Nothobranchius furzeri: one gene and its partners. The main gene of each other region encodes a partner of the protein of the gene in region 3 in a complex. Links are inferred from orthologs where the notes say so. Each region holds a gene or a part of one and is shown on either strand. Other genes may lie near its edges.

The links.
Region 1: the proteins of gpaa1 (region 3) and pigt are in contact, whole or in part, in a cryo-EM structure (PDB 7W72), measured with the Homo sapiens proteins. The link is inferred for Nothobranchius furzeri from reciprocal best matches to the Homo sapiens genes GPAA1 and PIGT. Residues at the interface, in NP_003792.1 of Homo sapiens: Arg97, Ser98, Val99, Gly100, Glu102, Tyr104, Arg134, Ala135, Pro136, Arg137, Ala138, Ala139, Ser140, Thr141, Glu142, Arg171, Gly172, Gln173, Ile174, Tyr199, His200, Asp201, Val202, Leu212, Gln213, Gly214, Arg215, Ala218, Arg311, Tyr312; in NP_057021.2 of Homo sapiens: Gln91, Gly92, Phe93, Arg95, Arg97, Tyr98, Ser108, Phe211, His212, Thr213, Ser214, Asp247, Phe249, Ile250, Arg340, Gln355, Tyr357, Val358, Ser359, Gly360, Tyr361, Gly362, Leu363, Leu371, Tyr373, Lys441, Asp459, Pro460, Asn461, His462.
Region 2: gpaa1 (region 3) and pigs share a complex: the UniProt entries of both Homo sapiens proteins name them as parts of the GPI-anchor transamidase complex. The link is inferred for Nothobranchius furzeri from reciprocal best matches to the Homo sapiens genes GPAA1 and PIGS.
Region 4: the proteins of gpaa1 (region 3) and pigu are in contact, whole or in part, in a cryo-EM structure (PDB 8IMX), measured with the Homo sapiens proteins. The link is inferred for Nothobranchius furzeri from reciprocal best matches to the Homo sapiens genes GPAA1 and PIGU. Residues at the interface, in NP_003792.1 of Homo sapiens: Gln245, Leu310, Arg311, Arg313, Phe358, Leu359, Ile371, Ala389, Leu390, Trp393, His397, Leu500, Ile504, Leu508, Cys512, Leu515, Thr516; in NP_536724.1 of Homo sapiens: Tyr349, Ile355, Phe356, Cys360, Ile363, Val364, Leu367, Leu368, Val371, Leu372, Leu375, Ile377, Tyr378, Ala379, Gly380, Ser381, Phe386.

What each region holds. Positions count from the first base shown.
Region 1 is NC_091755.1:30,371,373-30,375,656, forward strand, and holds the start of pigt (GPI transamidase component PIG-T), read left to right. Parts: upstream 1-1,452; 5' UTR 1,453-1,497; coding exon 1,498-1,888; intron 1,889-2,685; coding exon 2,686-2,863; intron 2,864-3,308; coding exon 3,309-3,436; intron 3,437-3,636; coding exon 3,637-3,737; intron 3,738-3,840; coding exon 3,841-4,015; intron 4,016-4,111; coding exon 4,112-4,209; intron 4,210-4,284. UniProt on the Homo sapiens protein: Component of the glycosylphosphatidylinositol-anchor (GPI-anchor) transamidase (GPI-T) complex that catalyzes the formation of the linkage between a proprotein and a GPI-anchor and participates in GPI anchored protein biosynthesis.
Region 2 is NC_091750.1:65,604,268-65,608,497, forward strand, and holds the start of pigs (GPI transamidase component PIG-S), read left to right. Parts: upstream 1-1,421; 5' UTR 1,422-1,459; coding exon 1,460-1,511; intron 1,512-1,543; exon of another isoform or gene 1,544-2,111; intron 2,112-2,190; coding exon 2,191-2,330; intron 2,331-2,409; coding exon 2,410-2,521; intron 2,522-2,604; coding exon 2,605-2,694; intron 2,695-2,771; coding exon 2,772-2,863; intron 2,864-2,950; coding exon 2,951-3,191; intron 3,192-3,282; coding exon 3,283-3,425; intron 3,426-3,511; coding exon 3,512-3,626; intron 3,627-3,698; coding exon 3,699-3,844; intron 3,845-3,964; coding exon 3,965-4,065; intron 4,066-4,142; coding exon 4,143-4,230. UniProt on the Homo sapiens protein: Component of the glycosylphosphatidylinositol-anchor (GPI-anchor) transamidase (GPI-T) complex that catalyzes the formation of the linkage between a proprotein and a GPI-anchor and participates in GPI anchored protein biosynthesis.
Region 3 is NC_091751.1:51,171,943-51,176,151, forward strand, and holds the start of gpaa1 (glycosylphosphatidylinositol anchor attachment 1 protein), read left to right. Parts: upstream 1-1,382; 5' UTR 1,383-1,469; intron 1,470-1,795; 5' UTR 1,796-1,843; coding exon 1,844-1,917; intron 1,918-2,015; coding exon 2,016-2,195; intron 2,196-2,287; coding exon 2,288-2,399; intron 2,400-2,485; coding exon 2,486-2,633; intron 2,634-2,729; coding exon 2,730-2,831; intron 2,832-2,919; coding exon 2,920-3,116; intron 3,117-3,198; coding exon 3,199-3,395; intron 3,396-3,580; coding exon 3,581-3,734; intron 3,735-3,867; coding exon 3,868-3,939; intron 3,940-4,021; coding exon 4,022-4,209. Other genes in the region: exosc4 (exosome complex component RRP41), read left to right, coding at 1-112. UniProt on the Homo sapiens protein: Component of the glycosylphosphatidylinositol-anchor (GPI-anchor) transamidase (GPI-T) complex that catalyzes the formation of the linkage between a proprotein and a GPI-anchor and participates in GPI anchored protein biosynthesis. Binds GPI-anchor.
Region 4 is NC_091743.1:68,645,024-68,649,123, forward strand, and holds the start of pigu (phosphatidylinositol glycan anchor biosynthesis class U protein), read left to right. Parts: upstream 1-1,258; 5' UTR 1,259-1,299; coding exon 1,300-1,429; intron 1,430-1,747; coding exon 1,748-1,812; intron 1,813-4,015; coding exon 4,016-4,075; intron 4,076-4,100. Other genes in the region: psmf1 (proteasome inhibitor PI31 subunit), read right to left, coding at 1-25, 692-820. UniProt on the Homo sapiens protein: Component of the glycosylphosphatidylinositol-anchor (GPI-anchor) transamidase (GPI-T) complex that catalyzes the formation of the linkage between a proprotein and a GPI-anchor and participates in GPI anchored protein biosynthesis.

The DNA of each region.
Region 1 (4,284 bases), on a different chromosome or scaffold from region 3:
CCAAAGTGCTTTACACTAGTGACCCATTCATCGACTCACACACTATTTAACACGCTGGTGGTGAATAGCTACCCTGGGACACCCTGACAGAGGTGGGGATCACATGGCAGCACAAATGAATTCAGACTAGAAGGTGAGTTTTGCATTATATGCCCCATTTAATTCACAAAATTTTTTTAAATGTGGTAATGGATCAGCTGCAGAATTTGTTTCAATGCCAGACCTAGAAAAAATAACTGCTGAATGGAGGCCAGCCAGAAACAAATCTTAAGTTGTTTAATTGTCCATAAAAATGAAAAAGTTTACTGCTTTTATAGTTTTTAATTCTTAGGCATAGTTTTATCAATCCTTTGGCTATCTTTTATTTTGTTTTTCATACATTCTTCTTTTCTAATCTTCACTGAATTATTTTTTGTGTGCTCATATATTGTTTGTTTTAGAATACATCTCAAAAAGCTGGAAGCCTGGAACTACACTTGTTCTGTTACCCACTTACAAAAGAACATTTTAGCCTACTAATCTCATTGAAACTGATATATATATATACATACATACATTCTATACATTCTTATATATATCCCAATATTTGTTTTTGTCCTTTTGAGAAAATTAATAAAAGAAGAAGGAGAAAGTGTAGAAAATGAAGAGGGAGCTTGATTTATAAAGTTACAAAAGTTACTTATCAGAAACAATTCCTGTAAACTCTTTCAAAATAAAACACTAAGCCATTTTGACGCTGGTAGGGGAATTGGCTCCAACAGGCCTTTTTTCAGTATTTAGCAAAAAATACCCCTAAAACAGTTTTTAGGCAATAGTGTTAAACACAATGATTGTGTGGAGTCAAAGTGCATTACAGCTAGCTACAAACTGTTTTATTGCCTTAATGTTATTTGCACTCTCCAGTGGCTAGAAGTTAGAATAACACTCTGTTTAGGTAATCCATTTAGATAATGGGAGTTGAGAGTTGTCGCCCACCAGTATCAAAAAGTTGGAAATACACTTTTGTTATTTTAACCATTTAAAAGAAGAAACAACATTTTATATAGAGCCTCTCAAGATAAGTTATATATATATATATATATATATATATATATATATATATATATATATATATATATATATATATATATATATATAAGGAGAAGGAGAGGGACATACGTTACCGTAGGTATTCATTGTGCTTTCACATACACTTCCTGCAAAATATTTCAAAGTAAAATCCAAGCCAGTAACTAATAAATCGGGTAATGCTTATAACTGATTTTTGTAAACGAAATAAATGTATTTGTTTTAAATTAATGAATTTTATTATCAAATATTCATATATTCAGATTTCACATTTAGATCAACTCATGGTACTTAAAAATAAATAAACAAATGCATTCTTACTTTTGGCTCTTGATAGTTGCCATAGTCACGTGACTCTAGTTGCACGCAGCCTATTGGCTAGTTTTGTGCATAACACAAAAGACGGAAGTAAACTACTATTGTCGAAAAATGGCAGCTTATGTTAACAGGTGCTCGAATTTGCTAGTTTTTATTTTTATTTTGTCTGTATTTTTATTTGTAGACAGTCAACAAACGACCCCAGTCAATGAGCAACATACTAACACGGCTGATAATCCGCAGCCGGCCGCGGAATCAGCGACACAAACAGCCGAGGAGGGCCGGTGGGAAGCTACCGAGGTGGATGAAGCTGCACTCGGTGATTCTGCAGCAGACAAACTGGGCGTTCGTGCTTCAGACACTTTCGTCTTGACACCTACACCGCAACCTAAAGATGATTTTCAGGAGGAGCTGGTCATTAGACCGCTGCACTCGGGGGATATTTATGCCAGCTTCCAGTTTCGAACCCTGTGGGAAACAGATTTCATGAGAGAAAACAAAGGTGCGTGATTTTTGCGTCTTTCGGAGACCACGCATGATCTCAGTCCTCTGTTAAAACATGTTGCCGTTGCTTCAGTTTAAACATAAATAAAAGTGTTTCCAGTTTTTGACAGGTGTTCCTGATCTGAAAAGCGTGGCTTGTTTTGAATCCGGTGTTGCCTGAATGATCTGATCCCAGCTTTTACGTTGTCCCGTGAAGCTGCAGCACTGACAGTTATAATATTCACACTTTAGCCGAAGGTTCTGTAAGCAAAATCTAGAAATCTTTTTCAAAGTTTCCATTTTGGCAAGGTCTTCACCGTTGTGATCCAGACATGCACTGATTCAGGTTTTGAGGGCCAATACCAGTTTCTTATTCATGTTGAACTCTGACCTGCTAAAGCCAGTTTTGTGTGATTCATCTTTGAATCAGCGAACAGAGTTTTTATTTACTTCAAACCTTTTAACTTTGAGTCATAAAATTTCACATGGAAGATTGGTCATAAACTGTGAGAAATGCTAATTATTTTATTGCTTTTTAGAATTGGTGTCTTCATAGATAGAACTATTTAAAAATCAGATTTTTGAGTTTCGGATCGGGCAGTCAAACGTTTCGCTGATCATCCTGAATATCGGCCCAATTCCCATCTAAATATCTGAATATCGGCTCGATACCAATTTTAATTTAAAGTCTAGGTTTGTGACTTCTAGCCTCACATCCCATTTGTAAACTGAATTATTTGTGACGATCTAGCACGATATGTTCCTGCATGGTCAGGTTGACTTTGTAAACACTAAACAGTGCTCTTTTTTTTTCAGTGTCCCACTACAGGCTGTTTCCCAAATCTCTGGGTCAGGTCATCTCCAAGTTCTCAGTGCGAGAGCTGCACATCTCCTTCACACAGGGCTACTGGAGGACCATGCAGTGGGGGCAGCCCTTTCTCCCGTCCCCCCCAGGAGCTGAGCTCTGGGTCTGGTTCCAGGACTCAGTGACAGAGTGAGTGCAGGCCGGTGATGGAGGCAGAGCATTAGAGTTGCTTTTACTGAGTGAGAGTTTTACTTTAACCCTCCCACTGTCCTAATGGGTGTGACCCCGTGAGGAAAGTTGACCATTGAGCAGGCATCCCTGCCACTTGGACCTCAAGGGATAAACCATCAATTCTGCTCAATGGTCAACTTTCCTCGCGGGGTCACCCATGAAGGCAGTGGGAGGGTTATAATTAAAATAATAATATTAATAATAAAAAAATGAGTTCTCTTTCATCGTCTTTGTGTTTCTGATTATAAATGAAACCATTAAATCCAGTCAACATTTGGATATGTATTTATTACAATATTTATAGTTTCTTCATTTGTTTTATAGTGACGTCCCGGGTAACTTTTTAAACTTGAAACCACACACCAGGTTTAGCTCGTTCTTTCGTGTTTCTCTAACACTTCAGTGTGGACGCTGCATGGAAGGAGCTGACCAACGTTCTTTCAGGAATATTTTGTGCTTCGCTGAACTTCATCGACTCCACCAACACCGTTCAGCCCAGCGCCTCCTTCAAACCGCTGGGAATCGTCAACGGTACAGTGAAGCTACTCAGCCCCCCATAACCTTATTTTTATGTGTTTTATTTCTTTGCTACAAATATCATTTTTAATGTTCTTTATTTGAGTTTAAAGATACGACACTGTTGTAAAAGCGATACAGCGAATCGAGGGCTGGGTCTCTGTCCAGGATGCACTTTCACCCTCTGATTTCTGTTTACCACGTTGAAATTTAAGAGACAGACCATCGATTCCTTCGCTATGCCACCCTCCCGCGGGAAATAGTCTGCACTGAGAATTTGACACCCTGGAAGAAGCTGTTGCCCTGTGGATCCAAGGTAAACATCTTTGTTTATCTCAGCTTTCTGCTGTGGGTTAAACCAGCCAACACTTTGTGGGTTTGTGTGTGTGTGTGTGTGTGTGGTCATTAAATCTTTTCAGGCTGGTCTCGCTGTGCTGTTGAAGTCAGAGAAACTCTTCCACAGCAGTTTTTTTTCCCAGACCGTCCACATACGACCCGTGTGTCAGGATCGGGAGTGTAAAACCACGTCCTGGGAGCTGAGACAGACGCTGAATGTTGTTTTTGACCTGCACACATCTGGACAGGGCAAACGAGGTGAGAAAATAAAATTGATCTTCCTGCTTTCAGCTGATGTTTGAGTGTAGGTAACACAACTCTGGTCTTTGCTGACTCTCTGCTTTATTGTTTCAGAGTGGTCTTTGTTCAAGATGTTTTCTCGAACGCTAACAGAAGCCTGCCCCCTGGCCTCGTCCAGTAAAATATACATCGATGTCACGGATAACCCTCAGGTTAGACTTCTCATGTTCTCCTAATTTTTTTTCATCCCCAACATGGAAACGCAGATATTTTTGATTCTTTTATTT
Region 2 (4,230 bases), on a different chromosome or scaffold from region 3:
TAAAACGAAGCATCACGTGTGTCTTCTCAGTATAACAGCTTTAAATGACACTCCGTAGGTAATGTATTTAGTTGTGTGAAAGTATTGATGTTATGTGGTTTTTGTGTCACCCCTCCCCTTGCGGCTGTCTCGCCCCTGCCCATCCCCACAGCAGAGATCAAATGAGTTTGTGTGGATTTGTCTGTGGGCTCGGCGGGGCAGAGACGGGCACTGCTTTGTTGGAGTACTGTGGTGTTTGTGATGTTCAAATCATTCCCAAAAACAGTCGGTGTATAGTGGAGAAAATAAACAGTAATTCACAACCTGGGTTCATCTTGTTTTAATTATTTATATGATTTACTCTTTTTAGATGAATTATGCATCCAAGAAACTCCTGCTACTAATATTACATTACTGTTGCTTATTCATATGTACACATTATTGAACCATAACATTAGGACTTCCTTACCTTTAAACCAACAATGGCAGCTGGCTTGAATGTTAGGAATATTAAACAGTTGGAGAGTATTCTGTAGTTTATTGTGTTAAAATAATAACGGTTCTAGTAGCAGTATTTTGAAAAGAACACCCTGAACTACCTGCTACATCCTTCTGATTTTCTTCTAAAGCTGCTTATTATGAACGAGTCAAACTGGGAGTGTTACATGCTTAAATTGCAGGTTTAAAGGTATTCAAGACAAGTCAGTGATACGAAAAAAATGTGATCACTAAAGGTGACGTTAATTAAAACTGTCACAAAGGGGCGAAAGTTTCCCCTTCACGTGTGTGTTTAATATTTTTTCAGGATCGCCCGATGACTTTCTGTCTCTGAAGCAATCACAGTTCTCCAAGTGTAATAATACATTTATCACAAAATTATTGTACTTTTAATATATATATATATAGACGTGTTACTGCTAGTTTACCCATTTAGAGATCCACTAGGATAAATACAATAAAGTTTATCTCACCAAATAGAATATTTACTAAGACATCACAATAGAACTGTAGACACATTAGAGTGTGTGTGTGTGTGTGTGTGTGTGTGTGTGTGTGTGTGTGTGTGTGTGTGTGTGTGTGTGTGTGTGTGTTCTGTCGTCTCGATCCCCAGTGAGTCGTGGAGGATGGCTGCTTATACTGAGCCAGGATCCTCTGGAGGTTTCTTCCTGTTAATAGGGAGTTTTCCTCTCCACTGTCGTTGCATGCTTGCTTAGTATGAGAATTGCTGTATAGTCACTGACACTAGTCAGTGACTTGATGCAATTTGCTGGGTTCCTTATATAGGACACATTATTTCTGATTGGCTTAATGAACTGTGAATTGGAATGTTTATTTTGTGAAGTGCCTTGAGACGACTCTTGTCGTGAATTGGCGCTATATAAATAAACTTTAATTGAATATATATATATATATATTACCTCCTTTATTCTTGTCTGAGTCAGATGAAATATGTGTCACGTGACTCAATGTTGTGTTGGTGATGAAACCGAGCACACCCGGTTCATTGCAAATAATGGCCACCGCGGAAGTGGGTGAGTAGATAGAATGTCACATTATGTTTTAACATTTTAGTTTAGTCAGAGTAAAAAATTTAACTGTACTTTGGGGTCCATTTACAGACTTTTTAAGACGTCCTGTAGCTACATTCACTTTTAGCTGGAGACATTTGTTTTCATGACGTTAAGAACCATTTTTGTTGAGCGCTAGCTCGCGTTAGCATTGTGGTTTCCAGGAAAATGTGCATTTATAACAGCTAGCTTCGTTTTAGATGTAGTTTTAAACAATTATTTTTATTTGCAACCGTCTGTTCTTCTATAATAAGCTGAATAAAACCCATGCATCCATGAAAAAATCTAATAGGTTCAAAGTTTATTTAGCTTATAATTTTTATTTATTATTTTAATGCCAAAGTTAACCCCAAACTAATCGATGAAAACATGTTGCTTCTGTACACAGTTAGATGTTAATGAAGGGAAATAAAATGTTGTGTTTTTATCCTGTTCTTATGTAGTTACAACCATTTATTTATTTTAATAGCATCAGTTAATATTACTGTGAAGTGATTCTAAGTTTAGTGATAGAAATAGATTAAGTATTTGACACATCAGTAACACACAAACAAATAGGCAGAGGTAATTTCTTACAAGACATTTTGCATCCATTGTAGAATTTCTGTAGCAGAACTCTTTTCTGTGTTGGTCTTTCTTTCAGAGCGCAGACGAGGTCAGCTTGCTGCTTTGTCCATAGCAGCTGTGGTGATCATCGTTGGAGTCCCTCTATGGTGGCGAACCACAGAAACCTACCGTGCCTGGTTACCTGTCAGTCAGATAAAACAGCTGGCAAAGCTACAGGTTAGTTTCTGACTCCTAAAACAACCTTTTTGTCTCGTGGGAGTTTGCTTATTCGTGTTTTATTTTTTCTGTTTTGCAGCTCCAGCTGAGCGCTGACGTAGAGGTCGTCTTTGCTCGTGGTACTGTGACCCCCGAGCAGCAGAAGAAGGTTCCACTGACACAAACACAGGAAGAGGAACATGCAGTGGACGGTGATTTAATGAAGTGGTTTAGGAGGTTGTTTCGGAGGATGAAGCGTGCATGCTCATTTTGTGTGTTTATGTTGTGCTTACAGGAGATACAATGTTAAGGTACAGGTTTGAGACGAGGTACCGCACAGCTACGATCATGGAGGAGGATGCACTGAACAAGCCCACTGCTGCTGGTCAGTTAAAGGTTAAATCTCAAATGAATGGTTTGGTGAAATTACACGCAGTTATTTTTCTGTGTCTTGTTTTTTAGGAGCAGATGAATCTCTGCACACACTCAGCGAGAGTCCGTGCGGTTCTCTGGTTTTTTATGTGATCCCAGAGCTGTCCCTATTGCTGCCTAAGGTCAAATCTGCTAGTATTTTATACTCTGCTCCTTATTTACTTCGACCCGTGTCGTGAAAAATTCGGACGTGTTTTTATGCTTTGCAGGACACAGATGTGTACATCGGTCAGCGTCGAACTGCTCTGCTTCGTGTCAGCTCCCAGGTGGGTGTGGGTAGGACACTCGAGCAGCTCCTGGCCCAACTGGAGCCTCGCATCAAACAGGTGCTGCAAGTGATGTCTTTCAGCCACACCGACGTCTCTGCTGTCCTCAGTGACCGAGTCCGTTTCAACCCAGACAGCAAAGAGGGCATTGCTGATAGCATGAGAGCCTTCAAATCCAGCCCAGGTTGGCTTTTATTCAGCCATGAATAAAGTTGGTGTGGTTAAAGTTGGTGTGAAAAAAACTCTGTTTTCTGTTTATTTTTATTTTCCTTTAGGTTATGAGATAACATTTAGTCTGTTGAACCCCGACCCAACGTCACACCAGCTCCACTGGGACATCGAAGGTGCTGTGCAGACCTACATCCAGCCTTTGCTCACAAAACTCTCCCCCGTGGCCAACTTTAGCATCGACTCTCAGGTATGAAACTCCGTTTTGGTGGACATTCAGTCAGGCGCAGAGCACGTCAAAAGATAACCCTCAACCCTATACTTGTGTTCTTACAGACGTTGTACTACTCTGTGCTCGGGGTCAAACCACGCTTTGACAGCAGCTGCGATGCCTACACGCTAAATGCAGACAGCCTCGCACACGTCATCAACCCGGTGGAGGCCAGACTTGGTAAAATAGGAATTTTAGGGATTTGAATCCACTGTGTTGCTTTATGATAACATAAAAATGTTTGATTTCCAGGTTCTAATGCTGCATCTTCCAACCCAGTGCTGAATTTCCTTTTGTACGTTCCTGATGCTCACCATTCCCCTCTTAAAATCCAGGATCATAGGAAACAGGAAGTGCCCTCGAATGCGTTTCATTCTCCTCGTTGGGGTGGAATTATGGTAAAATATTTAATTTTCTCTCACCCGAATGAAAGAAAATAGATTGTTATTTATTGAAAACACCCATCGGAGCAGTGAAGGTGTGATGATGGGGAAAAAGTCTATCCATTATTTCTTTAGGTTTATAATGTGAACGGTTTCTATGAGCCAGAGGCTGAGCTTCCTGTTGACATCAGCATCAACATGGCTGAAGTCATGGGAGTGTTTCTCGCTCAGCTTCGGTAAGCGTCACTCTCCTAGCAAACATTTTAATATTTCTTGCCCGTGTACAAAGTTTCCTAATTTTTTTCCCTGCCAGACTCCTGCTGGGTGTGCAGTCATCCCCCCCTCCCCCCGGCTTCCTGGTGGCACCACGTGGAAGTTCAGGATTAGCCGACTGGGAGCTG
Region 3 (4,209 bases):
CCTGGAAGCACTGATTGAAGCTGCAACGACAGCTTGTAAAGGTGTGAGCAAGGTGCTGGATGAGGTGGTGAGGCAGCATCTTCAAGAAGCATCGGTGCTCACCGGAGAGTAATGAATTATGAAGTGGAGCCCGTTTGGACTGAGAATCTCTGAACTCTTTCTTTATTTTATAATATTTCATTGCATTTCTTTATCCTTTTGTAACCAGACCTATAAATGTGTGAATGGAAATCTTCTCTTTGATTTTTCTCCTGACTCTTGTTCGATAGACATGTAGTCTCTGTTAGTTCTGTTAACTCTGAATAACAGATCATTAATAGTAATTATTAGAAAGAAAGAAAATGATCTTTTATATAGCGCCTCATGATAAAAATCACAAGTTGCTTCACAAGAAAAATACATTTTAAATATTAATAGATAAAATGATTAGAAGATATGGTTAAAATGAGAAAAAATATGTGATTAAAGGAAAGGATAAGGAAAGGGAAAGAGAAAATGAATAAGAAAGAAGAAAATCAGTGGATCCTGGGAGAGGTGGAGTTGGTAGAGCAGAATAAGGAGAGGGAGTGATGAAGGTAACACCAAAGCCAGCCTGAACAGGTGAGTTTTCAGCTTCTTTTTGAAGGAGACCACTGAGTCCACTGATCTCAGGCTCAGGGGGAGAGAGTTTCAGAGTCTGGGGTCTACAGCAGCAAATCATTGTCACCTTTGGTCTTTAGCCTGGTGCGCTGTACAACCAGTAGACTTTGATCACTGAACCTGCTGGGGATGTAGAGATTAAGAAGATCACCACTGTATGAATGTGCTTGTTCATGTAAGGGCCTAAAAACGACCAGGATCTTGACAAAAACCCTGAAGTTGACTGGCAGCTTGTAAAGCTGGAGATTTAAAAAAATGTTCTTTATTATTATTTTCAAACAAATCTGTCTAAATGGTTAGGGAGTTTTAAACTGGTGTATTTGATTAGGATTCTCAAATGTTTGTCAGGCCTTTAAAATTTTTGACATTTATTACAATGTGCATTTTCAGGGAATCTTGCTGTGTTTTTATTATTAATTTTAATGTGTGCACACTATTTTGTGTCCACAAGTTATAAAAACTTTCATTGGAAATATGCATATCAAAAGTGGGGGTGCCTAAGTATTTAGAGTAAAAAATTAATTTAGTGTTTGAAATTTAATATAATTTATTTTGTGGTCTCTAAAATCCAGATACAATTAGCAAAACTAATAATGGAAAATATTTGCAATGTTTGCTTTTTATAACCATCGGTCCCAAATTTGGTTAACGCGTTCTTTTGGATTCATTATTATTTTAAAATTTTCTTAAAATGTAAAAACTACTTGCATTTTTAAAGTTTTATTTTCTTTTATTGGGCGGAAGTTGGTCCGCGGCATTAGCCTTCCCACAGGAACTGGGAACGCGGACGTTTAGACCGCTCCCGTTCGGATCAAGCCCTACTTCTGCAGGTGAATGTGAACACTAGACTGATGTATTTATTTTTACCTTTAAAATTACATTTGTGTCATTGAAATGATAATGCATTTTTTAAGGTTTACGATTTCGGACGTTTTTAGTTTTGAGAAACCTGCTTGTCAAGCAGCTAGCAGGAAGCTAACCTCAGCTGACAATGAATGGCAGAAATAACCCCAACTATTATTTATGGAAAACTAAATTAATATAGAAACTGGGACCATTTTAATAAACACGTCTTTATTCCTTTTAGCAACAACAACTATCGGTCAATTTAACGTATAATTTTAATTACTCTTGTTTGCCTGCGTGCATCCTTTAGAGCTTCCGGTTGGATCCAGGTTTCTAGCTCCAATCAAAGCCGCCCAACATGGGGTTGTTGTCTGACCCTAACAGAAGACGGGCTTTGATCAGCCTTTTGACCCGCCTCAACGCTCCAATCTGGTATGTGCCAAATACCGGGAGATTCTTTATAACTGATATTACAGCAATTCTTCAGTATTTTGCATTATACATCATCATCTCTCACCTCTTCCTGTCAGTGTACTGTGCTACTTTGCTGCTGTGTGTTGGTTCATGGGGTTGTCATTCGAGCCTTTCACCTTGCGAACCTACATGTCAGAGAATGCCATGGGATCCACCATGGTGGAGGAGCGCTTCCCTGCAGGGGAACGTGCTCTGGCCACAGCCAAAGAGTTTGGTGCTCACAAGAAGAAAGTTGGGTGTGTTTTTGACTTTTTATTAAACCTCTGCGCCAGCCTAATAACAACAATTTCACACTCCACTAGACTCTTATAACATTGTGTCTCTGCAGTGGGATGCCAGTGGACTGGCTAGTGAAAACCATGCAAGCTAGAGGGTTGGAGGTGTTCACACAGAGATTCTCTCGTACACTACCCTTCCCTGATGAAAACAATGAAAGATATGTACGTTTGTGGCAGGAAATCACATATAATTGTTCTGCACATATGCATACATGATTTTTTATTTTATTTGCAACATTTCTTCTCAGATTGTGGAAGGTACAAATGTTTATGGGATCCTTCGAGCACCTAGAGCTCCCCGAACTGAAGCGCTGGTTCTCAGTGCTCCCTGTAGCCCTGGCGATGACAACAACCAGGCTGTGGGACTGCTGCTTGGCTTGGCTCATTACTTCCGAAGTAAGTCCAGCACCTGCTGCCATCTCTGGCACAGTTAGCCAACACTGGAACGATGCTGCTGTTGCATTTCTTGGTTCAGTTAATTTTGTGTATTAGATCAAGTTTTCTGGGCCAAGGACATCATCTTTCTTGTGAACGAGCACGACCTGATTGGAATGCAGGCCTGGCTGGAGGGCTACCACCACACCAACACCACAGGTGACTATTCACATTCATTCCTGACTATGTTGAAACAGAAAACAAAAGGCTGTATATTTTTATTTCTCTTGTTTTATGGTTCTTCTAGGAATGGACTGGTCTCCCTTGCAAGGCCGTGGCGGTTCAATCCAGGCGGCGCTGTCCCTGGAGCTCAGCAGTGATGTCGTCACCAGTTTGGACATAGTACTGGAAGGCCTCAATGGCCAGTTACCCAACCTGGATTTAGCAAATCTCTTCTATGCCTTTTGTCAGAAGATCGGAGTCCTGTGCACCATTCAGGGCAGGGTAAAGGCTTGTGAACATGTGTGCGGTATTTAGTTAGCAGACCAGTGAGGTGACCTGCTTTAATTTGTGAATGCCTTTGCAGATTCAGAGGAACGACTGGGACAGCGTGTCAGGCTACAGCCATGCAGTCCAGACCATGATGCTTATGGTGATGAAGCAGGCCAGTGGGCGATCCTGGGGAGATCACGGACTATTTCTGCGCTACCACATAGAGGCCGCCACCATCAAGGGCATCAACAGCTTCCGACAGTACAAGACCGATGCCACCACCGTTGGCCGGTTAGAGTTATTGTGAAAGTTTTTTTTTTTTTTTTTTGTCAAAACCCCAAATCAGAACAAAGTTTGAAAGTTCTTTGCAGACCTCAAATGCAGCAATAGTTGCATTTTGAATAATTCAGTCCTGACTTTTTGTTCATTACAAAAGCACATTTATATATACAGTATTTGTGTCTTTTGTCTCCTAGATTGCTGGAAGGGATGTATCGTAAGCTGAACAACCTCCTGGAGCGTCTTCACCAGTCATATTTCTTCTATCTCATGCCGTCGCTGTCCCACTTTGTCTCTATCGGATACTACATGCCAGCCTTTGGCCTCCTTGCTGTTATTTTACTACTTCGCGTATCCTTGCATCATAATTCCTCACTCCTTTTCAGCTGACCTAAGGTGAAGGTTTCCAGAAGAGAAAAAAAAGTTCTAACTGATTAAATCAAGGCTCTGCGATCCTCGTTTTTACACCTTGACTGTGCCTCAGGCTTTAGACCTGTGGGTTCAGCTTGCGACTCCACCGTCTAGAAATGAGGATGGTGTTGCTGATATAGAACAGGTTGGATGTAAAAAAAAAAGTGATATAAAACATTTGTTTTTTTTTTAATCAAATATTGTTTAATGATGATCTTTTCCCACAGTCCAGTACGGGGGTGCTTTCGGTGTTGACTCCTCTGGTCATCAGCCACCTGACAGGAGCAGCTTTGTACATGCTGCCTGTTCGTTTCCAGGAGATGGCGGTTGAACACTTCCAGGTTTCTGAAACGGAAGCCGTTGTCCTGACAGCCATTGCTGTTTACACAGGCGGCCTGGCTTTGCCTCATAACAC
Region 4 (4,100 bases), on a different chromosome or scaffold from region 3:
CAGACTTCTTATCACTGCTACGAGGCTGCAGAAGAGGATGGATGAAAAACACAAGAACAGAAACGAATAACAGAAAAAACAAAGGGTTAATGAACAAAAAATAGTAGATTTATTAAATCATCTGATGTGCGTCAATGTGACCCAGCCCCACAGAGTGAGTTAGTTTAACCTGCTAAAAGATGACTTGACATGTTTTGTTTTGACAGTTCGTTACTTTAAATCATTGGGTTTAAATGAAACAATTTGATTGAAAATAAGTAAAAGACGTCTCCTAGACATTATAATCCAGCGAAGTTAGCTAAATCCAGAAAAGTATACCCTTTTGGAAAGCTAAAGCTAACTTCAAAATAGCAGGTTAGCGTGCGCAAGTTCCCCTAGAAAATCGATTGCTTAATGTCTCCTTCAATAACATAAAATAATCACGTCAGAAACTGTGTAAATGACATTATTATTCTGTACAATATCTTACTGCTGATCTATCGGCATTTATTAGTTTAATTAAAACCTTGTACTTTTTCAATAACGTGTAATTTCATGTCTGATCTTTTGTCTGTTCGTTTCTTTTATGAAGCATAAATAGTGAAACCCTTGTTACAAAAATAACAAACCAGGTCAACAGGTCAGGTTACTGTTTGTCCATTTTCTGCATCATCTGAATCTGACCCAGCTTCAAACAGCCGATTTTACTCACATCATCTCCAGACCCGATACACCTGTATCCATTCTTTATCATTTCCCAGTGAACGAAGCACACAACGGCGTCATGCGGGCAGCTGATGCTACCTGCGACACAGGTGTACAACACCTCCAAGCCTGCCATGTTTCTTTAGTGTCTCGACATCAACACAGCATCAAAACGACGAAAAGAAAACGAAAGTCTTCCCATTTGCAACCTAGAAACTTCTAGCACTTCCTGTCTGGGGATTTCAATGTAAAAGCACCGCAAAAAATTCGTTGCAAGGCCAGGCGCCTTGACATTGAGAAACACTCTTATAGATACATTCTGTAGATATTTGTACTGAGTATTTTTACACAAAAGTAATGAAAATGATCTGTATTACATCTGTGTTCTAAATGAAATCCAAAAAAAAATTATAAAATGTGCAAAAAACCAAACACAAAAAATAATTATGATCAGAATTTTACAAGAACGTAATGCCTTTTCAAGTAAAATAGAAGACGAATAATAGTTTATGTGAACTTTATTTTGTTTTATTTATGTAGTTGTCTTTTTAGACAACATACTTCATTTCCCATCATGCCTTGTACCGGCAGGGCGGAAAGCGCTTCCTTGTGAAGATGGCGGCTCCCTTGACTCTACTTTTAGTTGTAGCCGTTACAATCCGCGCGGCTCTTTACAGATCCTCTCTAGCGGAGGTAATCGCGGAGCGGGTGGAGGTGGTGTCACCCATTACCGCCTGGAAACGAGGTAAGCGCGGGTGCGGCTGTCGTCCGGATCCCAGTTGTTCGGTTAAAATTCCGGTTCCTTCCTGCATCTTCGTCTGAACGATGCTGTCAAGTCAAACCAGTTCCGATACAAAAGACGGAGAGTCCTGATCGGCTTGCAAAAACAAATCCAGACAAGCCTAGACAAGTGCTGATTTCTTATAAAAATGTTGAATAATGTGTGTGGATGCTACATGTGTCATGCTTCAGCCCCTGTAAAGTAAAACCAGATCATTACAAGGTGATTGATGATATTAGCTCTACCATAGAGGATAACACAGATGTTGTTTGTTTTTTGCAGTTATTGAGGGTTTGGCACTGCTTGATCTTGGAGTTTCACCATACTCAGGAGATGTGTTCCATGAGGTAGGAGATCCGCACATTAAATACCTATCATGTTATCAGGCCATGACAGCATTTGTGTCTGCTTTAGGGGTTAGGTGATGAGCTGATTTCAAATCCTCAAGGATTTAAATGTGTTGCCAATCTGCCAAAGTAATAATAGTAGGATTGTCACAAACTATTTATCAGAATGATTGGGAAATGTTGCTGCCCAGATCGATTTGGATGCAACACACTCAGGGCCTGATCACATTATTGTGTATTTATGGTATTTATGGCCCAGTCCCAATACTCACACCTCCACACTTGTGCCTTTTAATATCATGTTCCCAGCCAGGGGTGCAAGTGCATAGGGTGTCCCGATTTTCAAGTGCAGGAAGTGACCAAGCTCATTTTGCACCCTTGATCTGCACTTTTCCCAGGTCTGTATCAATGTGGACTTGGGTGACCCACAGTTACCCACAATCTATTCCTGCGTGTTAAGTTTGAGAAGAAGGCAGGGCAATGGCTCAAGTGCCTTTTCTGAAAATTTGTATTTTCAAATGAAAGAAATTTTAAGACGATTAATGACATTTATTCATGTTGTGAATTTTTTAAGACTAAGGTTTAATGTGGACGGCAATGAATTTCAATTTAGGGTCTCCAAAAAGGGTGGGTAGTCTGAACTGTAGTTTGGTGCATAAGCACTGACCACAGTCAGAACCCGTCCCCCCACACGTAGGCGGAGGGAGGCTACCCTCTGATTCACTGGGGTAAACCTCAACATACAGGCACCAAGATGGGGGGCAACTAATATGCCCACCCCTGCTCAGCGCCTCTCAGTGGAAGCAACTCCAGAGTGGTAGAAAGTCCAACCCCTCTCAAGGAAACTGGTTCCAGAGCCAGAGCCATGCATTGAGATGAGTCAGACTATATCTAGTTGGAACCTCTCAACGTCACACACCAACTCAGGCTCCTTCCCCACCAGAGAGGTGACATTCCATGTGCCAAGAGCCAGCTTCTGTAGCCGAGGATCAGACAGCCAAGGTCCCTGCCCTCGACTACCACCCGTCACACACTGCACCTGACCCCTTTGGCCCCTCCCACGAGTGGTGAGCCCATGGGAAGGGGGATCCACATTTCCTCTTCGGGCTGTGCCCGGCTGGGCTCCATGGGTGAAAGCCCATCCACCAGGCGCTCGCCAACATGCCCCACCTCCAGGCCTGGCTCCAGAGGGGGGCCCCCGTGACCCATGTCCGGGCGAGGGAACACAGTTTCCATTTATATAATTCATCATAAGAGGTCTTTGGGTTGCTCTTTGTCTGATCCCTCACCTAGGACCTGTTTGCCATGGGTGACCCTACCAGACGCAAAAAGCCTCAGACAACTTAGCTCCTAGGATCATTGAAACACTCAAACCCCTCCACCACGGTAAGGTGGCAGCCCACGGAGAGGAACTTACTACGCACTTACTACATGGACTGAAATGCTTGCCCTGGTTTTCTCCATGTTTAATGCTCCTTCTGTCATCCTGGAAGAGAGCGTTAAAGCTTGCAAAATACACAGCCATTTTCTTCTCCATGTCTGAATCTCATGTCAATGATGTCAATATGGTGAGACACAATTGTAGTCCTAAATGTCTTTTCACACAAAACCTAAAATCACTGTTCGAAAATAGCGAATAACAGAGTCTTGGCATAAATGTGTCTTTAAAATTCACGGACGTCAAATGTAAAATCCGTGGCACATATCAAACAGGGTCAGAAAATAACTTTTATCCGCTCATAGACTCCGATTCATTTTTGGGAGCAGTGGGACACCCATGGACCAGAAGTGGGTGGGTGTGGCTTAGGCTCCCCCCAAAAAAACAAGTAGAAGTAAAGATGTTCTTACTTGGTGAGGATTTTCAGTGTTGGTCTGTTAGCATAACTTCAAAATGAGTTGGTGATTTACATCATGGTGAGGTTAACTGTCAGCTGTGGCATTAGGTTAGCATTATTAGCAGCTATTAGCATAAGGTAGATAATTAACCTATATGTTACAGCATCCCCCCCCCCCTCCTTTAGGGCTGCTTTAACATAGAGAGCATGTTTTGTTTCATTTTTGTGAAAATTTACTTTAAATATGAAAAATCATTATTTTACTTTTAAACTAAAATAATGATTTGACATTTGCCACAACCCTCAACCCAAGTTTACATCATATGCTCCTATTTTGATTCCAAATAACCTTTTTGTTTTTTCTCCAGACCCCTCTCGTCATCTATCTCTTCCACTTTCTGGTGGATTATGCAGAAATTACATTTATGGTGAGAGAGCCACAACAAACTTGGC